Daphnia pulex: one gene and its partner. The protein of the gene in region 2 binds, or shares a complex with, the protein of the main gene of each other region. Links are inferred from orthologs where the notes say so. Each region holds a gene or a part of one and is shown on either strand. Other genes may lie near its edges.

Region 1 (7,832 bases), on a different chromosome or scaffold from region 2:
AAAAAATATATTATATTTACTACGACATTTTTAATAGTTTGAAAATTTGAATTCAGAGAAAGACTTGATTTGACAAATATTCAAACAAAATCCATGTAGGCTAATCAACAAAATTTACAAAAATGACGAAAAATTTAGAGAATATTTATTTCGACAATTAACCTTGATTGATTTAATCAAACGAGTTTTTCTCATTAATTGCATTGTTCTAGATCTTTTTTCTTTCTTTTTTTTCTCACCCTGCCCCAGACAGATTACGCCATCGGCTGAAAGAGCAGACGAACCTCCATTCCTCCCGTGAAAATTCCAATCATTTCATCCTGAAAGACACAGCCACAGGTAATATTTCGCCTTCGTTCAATACCTTTTATTCGTCTCATTGTTAGGCACCGTAGACATATTATACAACAGGCGCGAATGAAAGAAAAGAGGTAGGGTTGGGAATCGTTTAATTCGAGGTTCGAGAAAGACTAGAACGGTTACTTATTCACCGGCCGCGTCCGAGACAAGAGCTCGGTAAGATTCCACACAAACCTCTTTCCTCTCTCAGTACACATGTGCTTCGTCGCCATTGAGAGCTCGCCTCAGATCTAAGCAATTTATTCGGCAATGTTCAAGAACATTTTCCCCTTCTTTAATAAGGTCTAGCACATGTTTTGCCAATTGATTCTCTCTTTGCTCTCTTTGCATTTGTTTCCATCTGTTGAGTCAGTAGCCCAGTACGATTTTTTGTTCAATACCACATTGGTTAAAGAAAAGGGGGAACTGTTCTTGAAGACTGCCTTCGTATTCTCTTTGCTCACATTTTGTTTTTAACCATCTACACTGTTTTTGAATGCTTTTTGATTGATCGATAGTGTTTTGTGTTGCAGAATAAAATTACAGAAATGACCAACAACAGTGAAGAACAGCAGACCTCATCTTCCACCGAGGAGACCATCATAGAGGTGGTGATTCAGCCACCAACTCCAGAGGCCAAGGTGGAATGTGATGCTCTCCCCGCTGTGATCACCACTCAGCCAGTCCAGCCAATGCCTGAACACGATGACAGCATTGCTGTGGTTATGTGGGAAGCCACCGTTACTGGTCGACGCCTCATCGACGAGATGGTCAACCTGGGATCATTCTACATGGCGCAGGGAGAGAAAGCAGAAGGGCATGATTTCAACGAGTACGTCATGCCGTATGGCAAGCTACCGCTGAACGTAATTCGCAACTACAATCTTCGCATCGTTGACACGGGTCGTTACCGCATGCTCAAGGAGATCCGCAACAACAGAATGCTCAAGTCCAAGAGCGAGGTGGCCGCCTGCAATGATTTCGCCTCGTGGCTCATCAAGCTCCAAAAAGATAATTTCCCCGACAAGAAAATTGTCCTAGTCTTCTTTGAACCACGTCACTCCAAGATCCTTCAGCTATTCCAGGTATGTCGCCATTTAGTTTATATTATCAGACTCGTTTCTAACTTTCACTCTGTTTTAGGCTTTGGAACGTTACCGTCTTCTTGATGATGTCAACAAGATTTTGCTTGGATGTGTCAATGGCTGGGATCTGCTCCGTCAACAGGTAATAACTGAAATATCGTAACACGTGAATCGGTTAGATATTCTTATCTTGCAATCGAAAACAGGTGCATGATTTGAAGGACGAACATCGCATGGTCCTTAAAGCTTTGGCTGATCACCACCTTGGAGTCGACACACCTTTGGAGAGCGCTGTTCAACGTGCTCAAGCACTTCACAAGATTCTTCGCAAGGTGCATGGCGGCCGCATCAACACTGGGGTACTTAAGGAGAACCTCATCAGTTGCGATCATTTGCTCGAACAAGTCAAGAAAATCAAAGAAGAATTGACCAAGGAGGCTCAATGGAGACCGGTATTCGCTGACATGTTTCGCCAAGGTATCAAGCCTCGTCGGCGAGCTGGATTCCTCCGCCATATGCTCGTCGAGTCGGGCATCACCTATGTAGGCCTTACGGAAACATTCAAGGTGAGTTTGTCTTCTTTTCAATTCTTAACCGGAAGAATCTAATTGAAATTTCTTTTGCAGGACAAGAAAGATGACGGTGTGGTCGAGGTCATCAAAGAGAACATCAAAGGCAAGAATGAAGCTGACGTGGAGGAAGTCATCAAGCTGCTGAATCAACACCTTGCGCAGCCAGACAAGCCCGTCCGACGCGGTAGCGGCCGTCGAGCACCCCGCACTCGTTCCCTATGCACCGCCACGGACTTGGAGAAGCAGCAGCCTGCGTCCAAGATCGAGCCCGAGGAAAACAACAACGACCCTGTCAAAGTGATTATGGATGTTATTCCCAGCACTCCTGCGGTCCTGTCCGAAGTTTAAAAAGTCCCTCGACTCGCCTGAAATTACTTACTGCCTCCCAACCCCACTTCCCTTTTGTTTTTCACTTAACTTGTCTCGTTTTTGAGAAATTTTGATCTTTTTTTAAGTTTACAAGTCTTTCACGAAACAAACTTGCTTGTCGCTTTTGGTTATGCTTTTCTTCTTACCAGAGATAACACTTGCAAAATTTATATATATACCAGGGAGCTTTTTGGTAATTGTTTCTAGTCTTCTACTAAAATCAATCCAGGGTGTATATGTGCGATGAAATTGTCTCTGCAGTGCCTTTGCAGTGCCTTTCATACTTGTGAGTTGATCTCATGGAATGGAATACAAAATACTCTGAGGAAATTTATCGTCTTTTATTTTTTTTTCTTAACAAAATTCTTATTATTCTTCATCTCTTATGCAACTATCGACCATTTCTTTTAAGTTGGGATTCTCTAAGGCGGCGGCGACTCTTTCCTTGTCGTTGATTTGTTTATTGACTGGATGGGAATAAAGTAAAAGAATATTTTAATGAAAGCTTTTTTGAACATTTAAATATGGAATTAGGACTTACTCTCTTCTTCTGTGCTGTGTTTCCCCTCTGCAATAACTATGTCCAATTTAATCCTTTCCACCACATTTTTCTGAATCTTGCCTCTCAGGCAGAGGCCAATAAGGCTTGCAAGTGAACAATGAGGAACTGTAGGATTGAAATCTATTCTAACCAAGTAACCATTTTCCTCGAATGGTTGTACTTGAACAGATTCATCTGTAATAACCAACAGGTCTTCTAACGTGTTGGGCTTTTCAGGGTCTCTAATTGTCCTCAGCAAGTCTAAAATAAAAATCAATAAATGTTTTACCCTGTGGTGAAATATGATAAAGACGAAACAGACCAGTGATGATTTCTTTGATTTCTTGACATTGATTCTGAACATTTGGTTCCTGTCTGCACGATGATGTCCAAATTGATCTGTCCTTCCAACTTGGCAAGTTCACTGGTGAACTTACGGTTACAGCCTTCTCTAATATCACATTATTAACTGTTTCGGGAGGCGGTTTGCTCTCACTGCTACTTATCTTTTTCAGAAAAGACGTGAGGAACATTTCGACACTTTGATTAAGTACAGCAACCAATTAAATCTTTATAGGACATGCAAGTTTACGCTATGCAAATGGTGGTTTGAATTATCTTTCTACAATTCCAATTAAGTACAAGAGTGAAAAAGACAAACCAAAATAGTGAAAGAAGCAGATGAACGAGTTAACTACTGCACTTTTTTTTAATCAGACGTCACTTTGTTTACATGAAAAGAGCCATCTAGTGAACTGAAGTACAACAATATAGGTAAACCTTTTGGCGGGATTTTGACTGGTGCGAGTGCAGATCATTCAAGATTTCCGGATTTTTTAACTGGACTCTTTGAGTTCGCATTTGTTACTTGAAATGAAACAAAGTAGAAATCTGTACTTTTCATGTGTGCACTAAACGAATTTATATTTTACAAAAATATAATAATCATCTGGTACACAAAAAGATTGGCATGAACTGAATAATAAAGAAATTGCGAAAATTCAGAAGTCAGCGCTTAAGCGCGCTGTGCCGAAGGATGAATGAATGCACTCTAGGCGGAAGTTGATTTCCAAGTGGAATTTTGTGTTGACGAAGGGACTGAGCGCAGTAACAAGACAGGGGCAAGACGGTATTGATCAGAGAGTTCAGATAAGAATTAAAATAATAGTCATGAAGGGAATGTTTCTTTCGCTGAATTTCCAAAAAATCGATCACTGTATGGCCTTCTGGTGTGGCTTGGTCGAGATGACCACCTGCTTCCACTAGTGATTGAAAAACATTTGACAGAGACTCGGAAGGAAAGTCGGCCGAGTCCAAGTAAGTCGAGAATCGAGTCCAGTTCCATTTCTCGGCTAAAATATGAAGCGGAGTTTTCCCTTTTCTATCCGTGGCATTCGGATCGACCCCCATTTTCAAGAACAGTTTAATCAAACGTTGGGTATTGCTTTCGTATAACCACACGGACCGATTAATTCCAGCATGTAAAAGACTGTGCGATCCACGGTGAACGTCTAGGGGAATAAATTGAGAAAGGCATTCCTCAAGTTGCTTGTGTTTTTCCTGGTTTAACCGGGGGAAACTCTTGAACAGCAGCGAAACAAAATCGTAGGCGCATATGTTCACTCTGTGAAGTCTATTGTGATCCTTATCATTCATTAGTGGAACTGGTAGTAGATTGGCTATGACGGTGCAGCATCCAATAGCTTTCAGAAGATTACCGGGAGTCAATTCCCGTCGTTCTGGGCTCTCCGCGGTCTCTTCTCGCATCCGTTCGAAACACTTTGACATCAGATCGAGTGTTTCGACGAAAATGTGAATACATTTGGGTGAAGATGCCGTCGAGCTGAACGATTTCGCCTGGTCGATAATGAGCAAGCAAATGTTGAACGCACGACTGGGTTCTTTTCGGTACGAGTTGCAGTCCCAGCCATACCGAATCAAATTAATTAGATGGAAGTAATAGGGCCCATTATTCACTTGGCTGACGACTCTTTGGTTCACTAAAAGAGCCTGAACTCGAAGATAACATTGCCAATGAGAACTGGCGAGTCCCCAAGCTGGCGGACAGCCGTAAATGGACGATTCTTGCTCCATTAGTTCCAGTTCTTCTAAGGTTAGCACTTCGGAATTATCGGCAAATGCCTTAGCAGCCTCATCGGTGAAAACGTTAGGTGTTTTGGGGATGGCCCGTTCGCCTGTGGAGTAACGCAGTGCCATGGCATCCTTCCAGCACTGCAGTCCGTGATGGGGTGCCCACATTACCTTGGATTGACTTTTCACTTGGATAAAGATAAAGGTGGCACCGATTAATTCCAAGGCATCGATTTTGTCTTGTCGAGGGATCGAGCTGGACTTGATACAATTCCAAAGAAATTCCAACCAAAGGGGTTCGTCCCTACGTGGTTCCAGCAGCCAAGGATCAATCAAACACTCCATTACGTCGACGATGGAAATTTGGTCGGTTTGAATTTGACAAAAGGTAGAAAGGCACAGAGATCTACACTCTTTGTCACTGACACATTCTCTCAATATTCTAACCAAAAAGTCAATCACGTTATAACGTTTTGTCTTGATGGCCGAAATTAAAAGAGTTTCACCTTGTTCGCTACTGGGTGTCGGTGTCCATATCTTTGTCATTACTTCCAACTTGCTGCAATTTTTGAATATTTCGCTTAGTTGAGTCGTGGAGTCGTTTTCGATCGCTTGCACAAAGAGATCTTGAACACTTTGCAAATAAGCCATGCTCAATACTATTTTGGAGACAAATTTAACAGCACTGAATTGTTGGAATTTTGGAGCGAATTCAAAAGAGAACGTGAGGACAACGACGATAGCTCACAACTATAGATGGACTGGATGGAGATTCTCTATAGCTTCTCTCGAATGCAATGAAGTTTCTAGAAATGAGTCGCATATATTTATAGGGTAAAATCCGGTAAAATCTTATCTGAAAAGATAAGAAAAATTCAAGGACCTCCGCCATAAGTAGGACCTATAGTCCATCTGATTCTGTCCAAGGTGAGTTTTTTAAAAGTTGACCCTGATTTTATACACAGCTGACGCTGACCTACATTAAGCGCATGACTATATATTTTTTTTCGAATAATTCCCATGTGATATTGGGCCTAAGGATTATAGAGTTCTTTGACTTTCACATTTTTTTTTGTAAAAGGGCGCAGGTTGCGGAGGGTAACCTCATGATCTATATTTCAAAAAATTAATACCAATAATGGCATATTTAATTTGAAATTTTGTTAGAGAAAATTTTACCTGCGTATACATGCAATACTTGACCTTGACGTAGCCTTGGTCGAAAAACACAAGGTATCGTTCTTGATTTAAAAACTTCCGTTAAAAACTTGGCTTCTTCACGGGCTTCTTCAGCGACTATACCAGCGTAATACGATAAAGGTTCCAGAAATTCATTATCGTCTCCGACATACTGGGCGATCCCACGAGCTCCCACAACGAACTGCACAGGACTTGGCTCAGCGCCAAGTATTTCAAAGGGAATTTACGCGGTTGTTTATCAGCAGTATTTTCGAAACAGGTTTAGTAATTTCTTAGTTATCTTATTTGATCTGGCGATAATAAATTAAACATTTGAGACAAGCATGCAATTTGTCTAGCAATTATTATAAAATGTTAGTTTTAAAAGTGTGGCTTTTTTTAAAACTTGAAAACTTCAAATCATGTGACACAATTTTAAAAAATGTCACAAATTCAAATCGAAGGAAATAAGCGTCTGCTAAGTAATAAACAGATAACCATAAATATTGCCATCTAGTGTTAACAAAATTAATTTTCAAATTTTTTTTTAATAGGAAAATTTATCGTCCCCAACCTGTCCCCGGCTTAGACGAAAACAAAATGACCCTTGTTATCCCACTCTCACTTGTTTGTTCTCTATGATCTTTACCATTTTAGTTATGTTTTAAATTTAGAAACAACCCGTTTCTCTCTAATCTGGGCTTAAAAATTTGATCTTGCTATGTAGGTGGTATTCATTTGGATTTTCCCTCACATAATATATTGGTCAGCCGTCAGTTATCATTCATTCAATTTTTTTAAAATTTATGTACACTTGACAGTATAATATGTCACTATAAAGAAGTTGAGTGCCTTAGAACTTTACCGGTGAGGCAGTTGAGTTAAAAAAAAAGAATTAAAAAAGGGGAATTTTTTTTAGAGGTGCATTTAATCTTCATCATAAATATCTAAATTAACGTCTTCATTCGACAGTGACACAATATCGACATCTTCTTACAACTCGAATTTCCTGAGAAGAGGTGATGTAAGAGCTAGATTAGATTAGCTCCCACACTAGAACAAGACGACAAAAGCTAGACATTTATCAAATATACAGAACGGTTAGAGTGATTACAGGAATATCAAGTCAATTATCTACCTTTTTGACTGGAACGTTCTCCTTTGTCTTCTTCAATCAGAACGGACAGCCGATTGGTTTGCGGCTTAGTGAACTGCGAGCCGAAGTTGATGTCAATAACATGTCGCTCAAACCGATGAGGAAGCTCTTAATCGCGCCGAGGAATTTTGAAGAGAATCGTAGGAATCTAACTCCTCCGGACGCACCCAGTACGTCATAACGAGGCCTTTGCCTTTCAAGAACGTTTCGCCTCGCTTCTCACAGTGGATGCCAACAGCTTCCAGTAATTTGGCCGTCTTTTCTGTAACCTAATCCAATCAGGTTACGGTGTAATTTTATTATATTGAAAGTATTTTAAACATCTTATTCGTTTACTTGAATTTCACCCAATTTACTAGTGTACTCCAACCGGGATGCCATGTTGACCGTATCGCCCCAAATGTCGTAAAGCGGCTTTTGCGCTCCGACAACTCCTGCAATAACCGGATTCCTCGAATGACAACTATTCACAATTGCCAATATTAATTACATTTTTATAA
Region 2 (8,940 bases):
CGATATGTTTGATTGATATCTATAACTAATAAAGTAAAAGTATCACGGTAATTTAAGCGATAAACTAAGCGCACTCCTGATTCACTATACCGAATCAGATTCAATTGCATTTTTACTTTTGCTTTTTTAATGTTTTAATTGATATTTCCTACGGGAACCTCGCAAACCGGAACGGAGTGCCAGCATATTAACAAAAATAAAGGAAGACAGAAATAAATGAGGTAAAACCGATTGATATTCACGCACAAGTACTAGCTATTTGACACGAAAACAAATTTAAATTCTGCCGCTGAGCTGCAGGGATGCAAAATTTCAGAATAAATAGCTTGGGACTAATGACAAATGGAATAAATAGCTTGGGACAAATGACGAATGGACATTAATGTCATTTAATATTATGGGACATAATTGCATTGGTTCTTTTAAACACTGGGCCTTGTGTCCTTTGGATTTTATTACGCCAGGACATAAATCTTTTGGGACAAATGGCAAAAAATAAAAACAATGGAATTTGTAACATTTGGGACATATGACGTGTGGGTCATAAATAACACGGGGAACTTTACGTTTGGGTCTTTTGACGTTTTTTTAAATTTTTGGTGCTTATGTCGCAAGTTACCAATGACGACTGGGACTTGCGTACCGCACCCAAAAGAAATAAGGAAACAAAGATTATTTTAACTCCTCTGAATGGCGAAATTATATTCCGCCTTCAGTCCTTTTAACTTTAATTCTTTCAATGTTTGAAACTATAATTAGCGTTCATTCTTTCATTACCAAATGAAACAACATGTGAAATCCGAAAATCCGATGTATCGAGAAAGTTAAACACAAACAGTTAGTTTACGATTCTTAGCTTAGAAAAAAAAAGCATATGTCGCATATATATGTGTGTATATATACCCAGTGTTCATCAGGAGAACATCGAAGTCGACGAAAAAACCAAAGAACAACAGAACATCAAGTAAATCGAACAGAAAACACATATGGAAAAATGATGTCAACCCTCCCCACAAGCTTTTAACCACATCAATGACTTAGATCACCTGGGCCACCATTCATCAACCAAGAGGGAATTTTTAAAGATATAGGGACCATTACTTCTAGGAAACACGCATTCACAACAATGATTCGATTCAGAAATGAGCAGAGCAAATCTCGTCTGAGAAATATCGATAGGCCTATATGTATGCTCGGTCGTTATCAACCAGAAATTATTTGCTTATTTTCTTTTGCGAGAACGTTGAAAGAGAGAAAAAAAAAACAATGAGAGAAAGATGGACAAACACAAATACAACGAATGCGTTATCTCCATTTTAACGCATCACTTTTTTTTTGGAAGAGTGGCCCGGCTACGACCTAAAAAAAAAACCAATGGCGCTACACCACTAACATTCGGTACTTGATGCATCAAATTTCCATCGCAACACAAAATTGTTATTAAAAAAAAATAAACAAAACGTAAAACAAATTTCTTTCCTCTCAACGTTCACCAGGCCGACAGACGAGAATCACTCAACTTTCAATCGTTTGCTGAATTCTTCCTGTTGTTTCTGTTTCCATTCTTTCTTGGCGTTCATACGTTTTAGTGCTCCATCCCTATCAAATTGGAATTCAAAAAGCGTTAAAATCGGCGATTTTTTCGAGGTGAAGTCTACGAAGACCAACTTACCAAGCTAGATCTACTAGGCCGCCCTGTTTTGCAATCACTGCTTTGACTCGATTGGCGAAATCAATTGCACTTTCTTCTGGTCGACGGTGCATGGGTGGTAGGTACCAAACGTCGCAGACCAAAGCCCAAGAGGACATCATCATGTAGAGATATTGAATCATCGAGTGGCGACTAGAATTCCAAAATGCGTCGGTAAACCTTGCGTCGTACTAAATCACAAATAAAATTATTATAATGGCAATCTCAATGGCAATCTCGTAACGAAGCAAATTACTTTAATTGCGACAGGATAAACAATACTGCCAACTTCAAAACTGCCCTTTTTGAACTGCATCACAGAAGTGTTGTTGATGCAGGTTCCCTCGGGAAAAATAAGAATAGGCAACTTATCAGGATCGTCAACGTGCTCTTTTAGTCTGAAAATATAATCAAAAGTCAGGATTTTCGAATAGGAACTCGATCTATAAATCCGGTATGCGGCAATCGATATTACCTTTTAGCAACAGTTTCACGATCTTTGACTTCGGAGCGTTCAAACCAAATGTGAGCAGAAGCGCGAGCCAAAGCTCGCTGAATAATGCCCAAAAATCCACCGTGACGCTGGCCAATCTTTAAAAAAATAATGAAAAGTAAATAAATATATAGATTTTTAAAAATTTTAAATCCAACATACCAGCGCATACGCATTGTCGCAGTGGAGAACCATTACGTCCACCGGAGTCGTGTGGTTCGCCACACAAATACCACACTTAGGTATATTCTCTCTATTGTGAAAAGTGACGACGGCTGATAACGCGCATGATAGAAAATTGAAGCACCATGTTGAAACCTTCAAAACCAAAACAAAACCAATAAGATATTAAAACAAGAAAGTATTGTAATGCAAACTCTTAAAGAAAAGATATGAATAAACGGAGCAAATGTTGATTCGAACTTTGTCCTATTCGAACCATCGGGAGTTCTACAGTTATCTACACGAGGTCAAATTCGATAACTGAACGGGGTAAAAAGAGAATTTGGAGTTTATACCTTCTCATAAATGGCTCTTTTCATGGGACCTTCATTTAGGAAGCCAACCAGTCCTGTGCACAAAGTTAACCAAATAACCTATAGAAAATCACATCAATCAAAGACAAATGAATAATTTCATTACAATTGCAATAATATAGTTAAAATAATACTAACAAAATAATTGACAAAGAACACATTTTGAAGTATACTTACAGCTAAAAAGCAAATTGTAACTCTGCTTGGTAGAAGAATGAAGTAGCGTACAAAGAAACCCAAAATCCAAGTAATAGTAAGGCGAACACTGATGAACTCATAGTGGCGGTTTGTGCGAGTAAGAAGATTCCAAGACTGGGAAGTACAAATTTAATGTTAGATACTGTGAACCAAATTGGTAGGTGAGATTTGAGTACCTTTAGTTCTTCAGCTACAAATCTTCCTGTAACTTCGTCCTCAATGATTGCTTCCACCCCCGCATGAACAAAGTCAAGGCAGTCAGATAGAATAAAATCATTATTCAAACTGTTAAATGATCTGTTTTTGGGGATGGAGGGTGTCTTTGGAGATGAGTTTCCATTAGGTAAAAGTACTAGATCTTCCTTGGACATTGCTGAAGATTTTATAATGGCATGTCCAGTTGATAATTTGTCCTCAGCTTGTTCCACTGCTTCCACAACATTTCCATTTGCATAGCCATTCTTTCCTTTATTGGTCTCTAGTTTCTTTTGCTGCTCAGCAATTTCTATCCTACCAGTTCCATACTAGTATAAAAAAGATTATGAGCATTACGAAAACTCAAATACTAAGAATAAGACATATTACCTGAAAGACCTTCAATAGTAGTTTAACATATCCTGATCGGAAATTCCTTGACCAGTTGCATGTCATCACTAGCACCAAGCAACCAATTACCAGGATAACAGGCATAAAAATTATACTAAGTACTAGCAAAAGAATTAAATTTTCGAGCCCCATTGTAATATTGTTGGTGGGAGCTCCAGTTCAAGAAGTTGCTGTCGTTGTCGAACACCAAGGCAACAGATGTCGGGACCACGTTAAAGGAAGTGGTGGAAGAGAGAGATTTCAAGGTTGACAAGAGAAATGCCGATTTGAGTTGTTGTGCGTGAGTGGAATTCGCGTAACGTAGTCTACTAAAAGACTGCTACGACAGACGTTTTGGGACTCTCGTTTATAATGGGACGTTCAGGCTACAACTGACTTCAAAAATACGTCTGTCTATTGGTTCTATGCGTTGCGCGTGCGACCTTGACGCGATTAATTATCTTTTTCTAGTCCTCCCATGCTTACCAGCACGATTTATCGGAATCACATAAAAGTTTACTTTGGAAGTCTCCACCCATCTGTTTTTTTTCCAATGCGTAATGAAAAATCTAGAAAATACAAAACCTGGGTGATATTTTCCTCCGTTCACGGAAGCTATTTCAAAACATGTTGGAATGCGGTTATTCAATATTTAATTACGAAATTTGTTACAAAAGTCTGTTGCTTGTTTACAATTACATAATCTGTGACAAAATTATATATTCGATGAATAATCAGTTCATGAAAAGAAGAATGTGAGAGGTAGGCAACCATGTGTCATTTAAAAGCAGATGACGTTTACATAATCAGGGCAGAGGTAAACAGTAAACATGGCGATCTCGACTGCGATTCACAAACTCAGAGATTCGTTTAATTCAGAAGAATCCGCGAATGAATCTATTCGCTGTATTAGTCAATGTAAGTTTTTATAATTATAACTGAAAGAAACATTTTTTCGTACTCCGCTCAAGTGTTCGAAATTAGAAAAAAAGAAGGAAAAACACGTGTCCATCATGAGCGCGCCAGATTTAAAACATATGTGTAGAAAATGTTTAATAATTTTAACAAGTTAACATCAATGACTTTGTTTAATTTTTCAGCAATTGCATCAAAAGAATTAACAATTCTCAAGCTAGTTGAAGATTTGCAACCAGATTTACTGAATCAACAAAATACTCACCGATGCAAAGCAGTGTCAACTATTGGCACAATCTTGGAACAGTTGGGGCCTGAATTGAAGGGACTAAATGAAAAGGAAGTAGAACTTGTAACAGAGTTCTTCTGTAGCAAGCTAAAAGATCATCATTCAATACTACCTGCCGCACTGCAAGGCCTCCATGCTTTGGTATGAAAAAAAATACTATTCAATACAAAAGTGTTAAATTTAATACCTTGTCATAGAGCACAGCACCTAAGCTTTCCCCTGGATTGGCCAGATTGATATCCCAGAGCATTTTTCAAGATGTTCATTGTCAATCACAATTGCAGCATGACAGAAGAGCAATTTACAAAACAGTGAAAAACCTCTTGGCTTTTCATCTAAAAGGTCTAAATTATAAATTTCTAAATATATATGCTGTGTTAGTATTTTCTAAATTTTATTTTTAAACTTACAGAATTACAAGACCTAGGCCAAGATTTTGTTTTTGGTCTCATCCAGTTAGCTGATCAAGAAAGAGACCCACGTAACTTGTTGATTCTCTTCAGTGTTTTCCCTGTAGTTGCTCGTTACTTCAGATTCGAGCCGTTTACAGAAGAGTTTTTCGAAGTTTTTAGTTGCTACTTCCCTATCGATTTCACCCCTGTAAGTCTCTTGAAATTTTCAGTTTATTGCTACATGTCAGTAAATCCTAATACTCTTATTTTGAATAGCCAGCTAATGATCCTTATGCAGTAACTAAAGAACAGCTCTGTGATGGATTACGACAGTGCCTTGCCGGTAGCCCTCATTTCGCAGAGTATTGTTTGCCGTTACTGCAAGAGAAATTGGAATCTGACTTGGTTTCAGCTAAAGTAGAAGCCTTAAAAACCTTGGTAATTTTCCCCTTCTATATTTAGTCTTTATGCTTCAATTCTATTGTAATTTTCGACTGTTTGCAGGAACTCTGCTGTCAGACGTATCAACCAGGCCAACTTGAAAAATGGGTGGACTCTTTCTGGACGAGTATACGTAGAGAAGTCTTGATCAATGTCAATACCGACGATCTTGAACATGCCTCACTTGATGCTCTTGCCGCTTTATCCCGAGCTTTTACAACAGACGGAGAATTTAACAGTCCAGCTTTTACCAAATTACTAAAAAATGTGCTGACCGGTAAATGTGTAGCAAATATTCGTTTAAGAGTATATTTAACTGTAGATTGTATATTAATAGAATGTCAGGGGCACTTGTGTGAACCGGAACGGCGATTAATGACTCCGAGCAGCTACATTTTGCTAGCGATATGCTCGGGAAGTGCGCCCGCGTGTGCATTAATTGTTAGCCAGGTATTATTCTTATTCTCTTATAGAACTACAAACATTTTTTTTAAAATCTACTTAACAGAAACCCATTTCTCTAAATAGGTCATTCCCCTTTTGATGGACCAGTACAGGATCAGGCCACAGTCAAATCCACGTCAGTTCATCCTTAATAGTTTGAACAAAATGGTACATGCTGGTCTCTATGGTTTCACTGAAGCAAACGGTACCACATTTTAAAAATTATTAAAATTAGAAACATTTTCATATCTTTGGTTATATTTTACAGTTGCTCAAAGTGGTGTAGCTTCTCTGATACCAAAATTGTTAGAGCTGTACCTTGAGGTCTTACAAGAGGATGACGCAGTTCTTCGCAATCTAAGTCTGCAAGGATTGAGCCATTTAATTGGCACCTGTTTGAACCACCAAGACTTGGAAAAGGTCAATGGAACACTTTTAGATTTACTCCAGAAATCAACAGCCACCGATAGCGTTATTGCAGAGATTGGTCATTTCTTTTGCAAAAGCGCAGAGAAGAATGAAAACTTGTTCCTTGAGCAAGTCTTGGTTAAGCTGTTAGATATAGCCGTCTCAGGTAATTTGAATTTTACCAATTAAAATACGGAAAGAGGTTATCTGTTGGTTGTTTAGGCAAAGCCAATGCGGTTTTTCTTGTGTTATCAACTCTACCGACGTTGTCCCAGATTCGTGCGCAGGTGGTATCCCGACTAATGACCGTGCTCGAACAACCCGAACTGGAATTACGACTTGAAGTACTCAAAGTTTTGACTCATTTCGCACAAAGGGACGAACTAGAAATATTCCAGCAATTGCACCGCTGGGGATTGAAAACATTGGAAGATGGAGATCCTCCGGCGTCACTCCAAGCCACTTGTGTTTTATTGAGAAATCTGGCTTCCAGTTTATCTTCCGCGTAATTCTATTAGATCAAAATGTTGGAAGAAATGTTTTTGTAATCTTCTCGGCATTGTACAGGAAAGCCACGGAATTCATCAACGAACAAACCGAACAATACGTAGGTCAACATCTTGCTCGTTCTCCGTGGACGTTGTCCATAATGGAAGCGACATTGGGATCATTGGATGCCACACCTAGCGGACACAGTCTTGAACGACTAGTTAACACACTAGAACCCATTACTGTTTGTCATCCAAAAGCCGACGTCAGACTGTCTGCCTGTCGGCTAATAGCCGCTCTGGTCAACAAACTTCCTGAAGGTAAAATTTATAGGATCTATTATAAAGTCAAAACCATCAACGTTAACCATTACCTGCTATGTTTAAGGGCATGAACTGGAAGCTATACTCGATTCGTTGCGGCGCAAATGGCAGGATCCATCTACAGACCGATGCAATTCTGTTTGCCTGTTTGTTTGGATAACTAAAGCTCTGCTGATGAGATCTTATTCCAAGCTTAATCAGTATATCCAAGAAGTATGCGATTGGATTACAGACGTAACAGCATGCGCCATGACCTGTATTAACGAATTACCTTTTTCTTTGCAGTTAGTTGATTCGTTGAACGATCCCACGCACGGGTACCTAGTGGCAGAAGGATTTAAAACGATTTTGTGTGAAACCGAGGAATGCCTGAATTTCAATTGTCATGCCAACATCAGGTTTTTTAACGTTTTCCATTTAGTTGTACGAACATTTCCTTATTGATTAAATTCTTAGGTTAATGTACCGACAGAGGTTTTTTCAAGAAGTTGTACCTCGCTTGTTGAAACTGTATCGAGAGTCCGAGTCGTGCAACAAAGCAGCTTGCTTCGCCGCCATCGCCAATCAACTAGCCTTCATTCCGGAGGGTGTTTTAATTGCCCACATAACCACACTCATCCCACTGCTGATCCAGTGTCTGAGCACAGACCAACCAGCTCAGCTAATTATTTCTACCATCAACGCGTTCATGGGTCTCATGTCCGACAATGTCAGTGCCATCGAAGAGTACATCAGCAGTCTCGTGCCCAGATTACTCACCCTTGCCAAAGACGGCATTAACATGGTAAGATCTACCTTTGTTCCTTCACGCTTGTAAATTTTATACTTACATTTTTATCATAATCTCCAGGACGTCCGTCGACTTGCCCTTCAATGTCTCTCTGAGCTCAGGAAGGCCCAATCGATTGTTTTACTCCCACTTCGGTCAGAGGTAAATTTTGGCTTTTCCATAATTTTGAACTTCAACTTCGTATTGTATAATAAATTTTAATAGGTCATCCTCCGTCTCGTCCCTTGTCTGTCCGACAAAAAGCGATTGGTCCGGCGTGAGGCAGCATTGGCAAGACAAAAGTGGATTATGTTGGGCCAGCCCGGCTGTAACTAACATCTCATTAGTGTGCCATAATTCATTCAAGAGCTTCAATTACACTGTTTTTCTAACAGAATTGTCAAGCATTAGAATAATATGTATTCTCTTCTTAACAATTCCGCGTGATGATGGTTTGTAAAAAGTGTCGAATCAAAGAGAAACTCCAATTATGTTTGAGGATCGTGCTCTTAAAAAAAATTCCGAGCAAAAGAAGCTGTTGTAGATGTCAAAAAGTGCCGTGGAAAGTTATAACATTTTGGCTAGGAAAGGATCAAACAGGATTAGAATACTGCTACAGTTTGTTGTTGTGAGGTCTTGTTTGCAGTGGCTGTCAGTAGTGCTCCGTGTCTATTGCGGCTTGTCGTCGAGAAAGTCGAAGGAAGCCTTGATGGTGTTGCCACTAAAAACGTCGACGGCTGAGGCGCGTATCTCCGTGTCGCCGAATTCCATCGTGACGCGGATTTCACGACGTGTTTTGACCGCGTAGGTGAAGCCCAGGTCGAGTGAGAGGGTAGCAAACAAACGGACACCAGGATCCGTAACAAACTGCATAAGTCGTTACTTGGTTAGTAACCAAGAACCATCCGAATGGTTCCGACTTTCGTTTGAATTTTGTTTTTTATCGAGGAGGGATTTTTGTTGTTTCA

What was found. Proteins that work in one complex are often made in the same cells at the same time.
Region 1: MMS19 nucleotide excision repair protein homolog (region 2) and cytosolic iron-sulfur assembly component 2A-like share a complex: the UniProt entries of both Homo sapiens proteins name them as parts of the CIA complex. The link is inferred for Daphnia pulex from reciprocal best matches to the Homo sapiens genes MMS19 and CIAO2A.

What each region holds. Positions count from the first base shown.
Region 1 is NC_060021.1:3,189,235-3,197,066, forward strand, and holds cytosolic iron-sulfur assembly component 2A-like, read right to left. Parts: upstream 3,629-7,832; 5' UTR 3,440-3,628; coding exon 3,229-3,439; intron 3,168-3,228; coding exon 2,907-3,167; intron 2,833-2,906; coding exon 2,735-2,832; 3' UTR 2,418-2,734; downstream 1-2,417. Other genes in the region: maternal protein exuperantia-like, read left to right, coding at 610-642, 858-1,424, 1,483-1,566, 1,631-1,990, 2,051-2,344; adenylate cyclase type 2-like, read right to left, coding at 7,688-7,795. UniProt on the Homo sapiens protein: Component of the cytosolic iron-sulfur protein assembly (CIA) complex, a multiprotein complex that mediates the incorporation of iron-sulfur cluster into extramitochondrial Fe/S proteins.
Region 2 is NC_060026.1:4,195,418-4,204,357, forward strand, and holds MMS19 nucleotide excision repair protein homolog, read left to right. Parts: upstream 1-4,289; 5' UTR 4,290-4,332; coding exon 4,333-4,420; intron 4,421-4,602; coding exon 4,603-4,847; intron 4,848-4,903; coding exon 4,904-5,048; intron 5,049-5,118; coding exon 5,119-5,306; intron 5,307-5,374; coding exon 5,375-5,536; intron 5,537-5,602; coding exon 5,603-5,816; intron 5,817-5,876; coding exon 5,877-5,989; intron 5,990-6,067; coding exon 6,068-6,188; intron 6,189-6,251; coding exon 6,252-6,557; intron 6,558-6,613; coding exon 6,614-6,896; intron 6,897-6,958; coding exon 6,959-7,200; intron 7,201-7,267; coding exon 7,268-7,416; intron 7,417-7,488; coding exon 7,489-7,601; intron 7,602-7,659; coding exon 7,660-7,987; intron 7,988-8,053; coding exon 8,054-8,134; intron 8,135-8,197; coding exon 8,198-8,308; 3' UTR 8,309-8,369; downstream 8,370-8,940. Other genes in the region: glycerol-3-phosphate acyltransferase 3-like, read right to left, coding at 1,512-1,599, 1,673-1,881, 1,947-2,088, 2,166-2,281, 2,346-2,501, 2,702-2,779, 2,897-3,031, 3,094-3,441 and 1 more; heat shock 70 kDa protein 12A-like, read right to left, coding at 8,642-8,839. UniProt on the Homo sapiens protein: Key component of the cytosolic iron-sulfur protein assembly (CIA) complex, a multiprotein complex that mediates the incorporation of iron-sulfur cluster into apoproteins specifically involved in DNA metabolism and genomic integrity.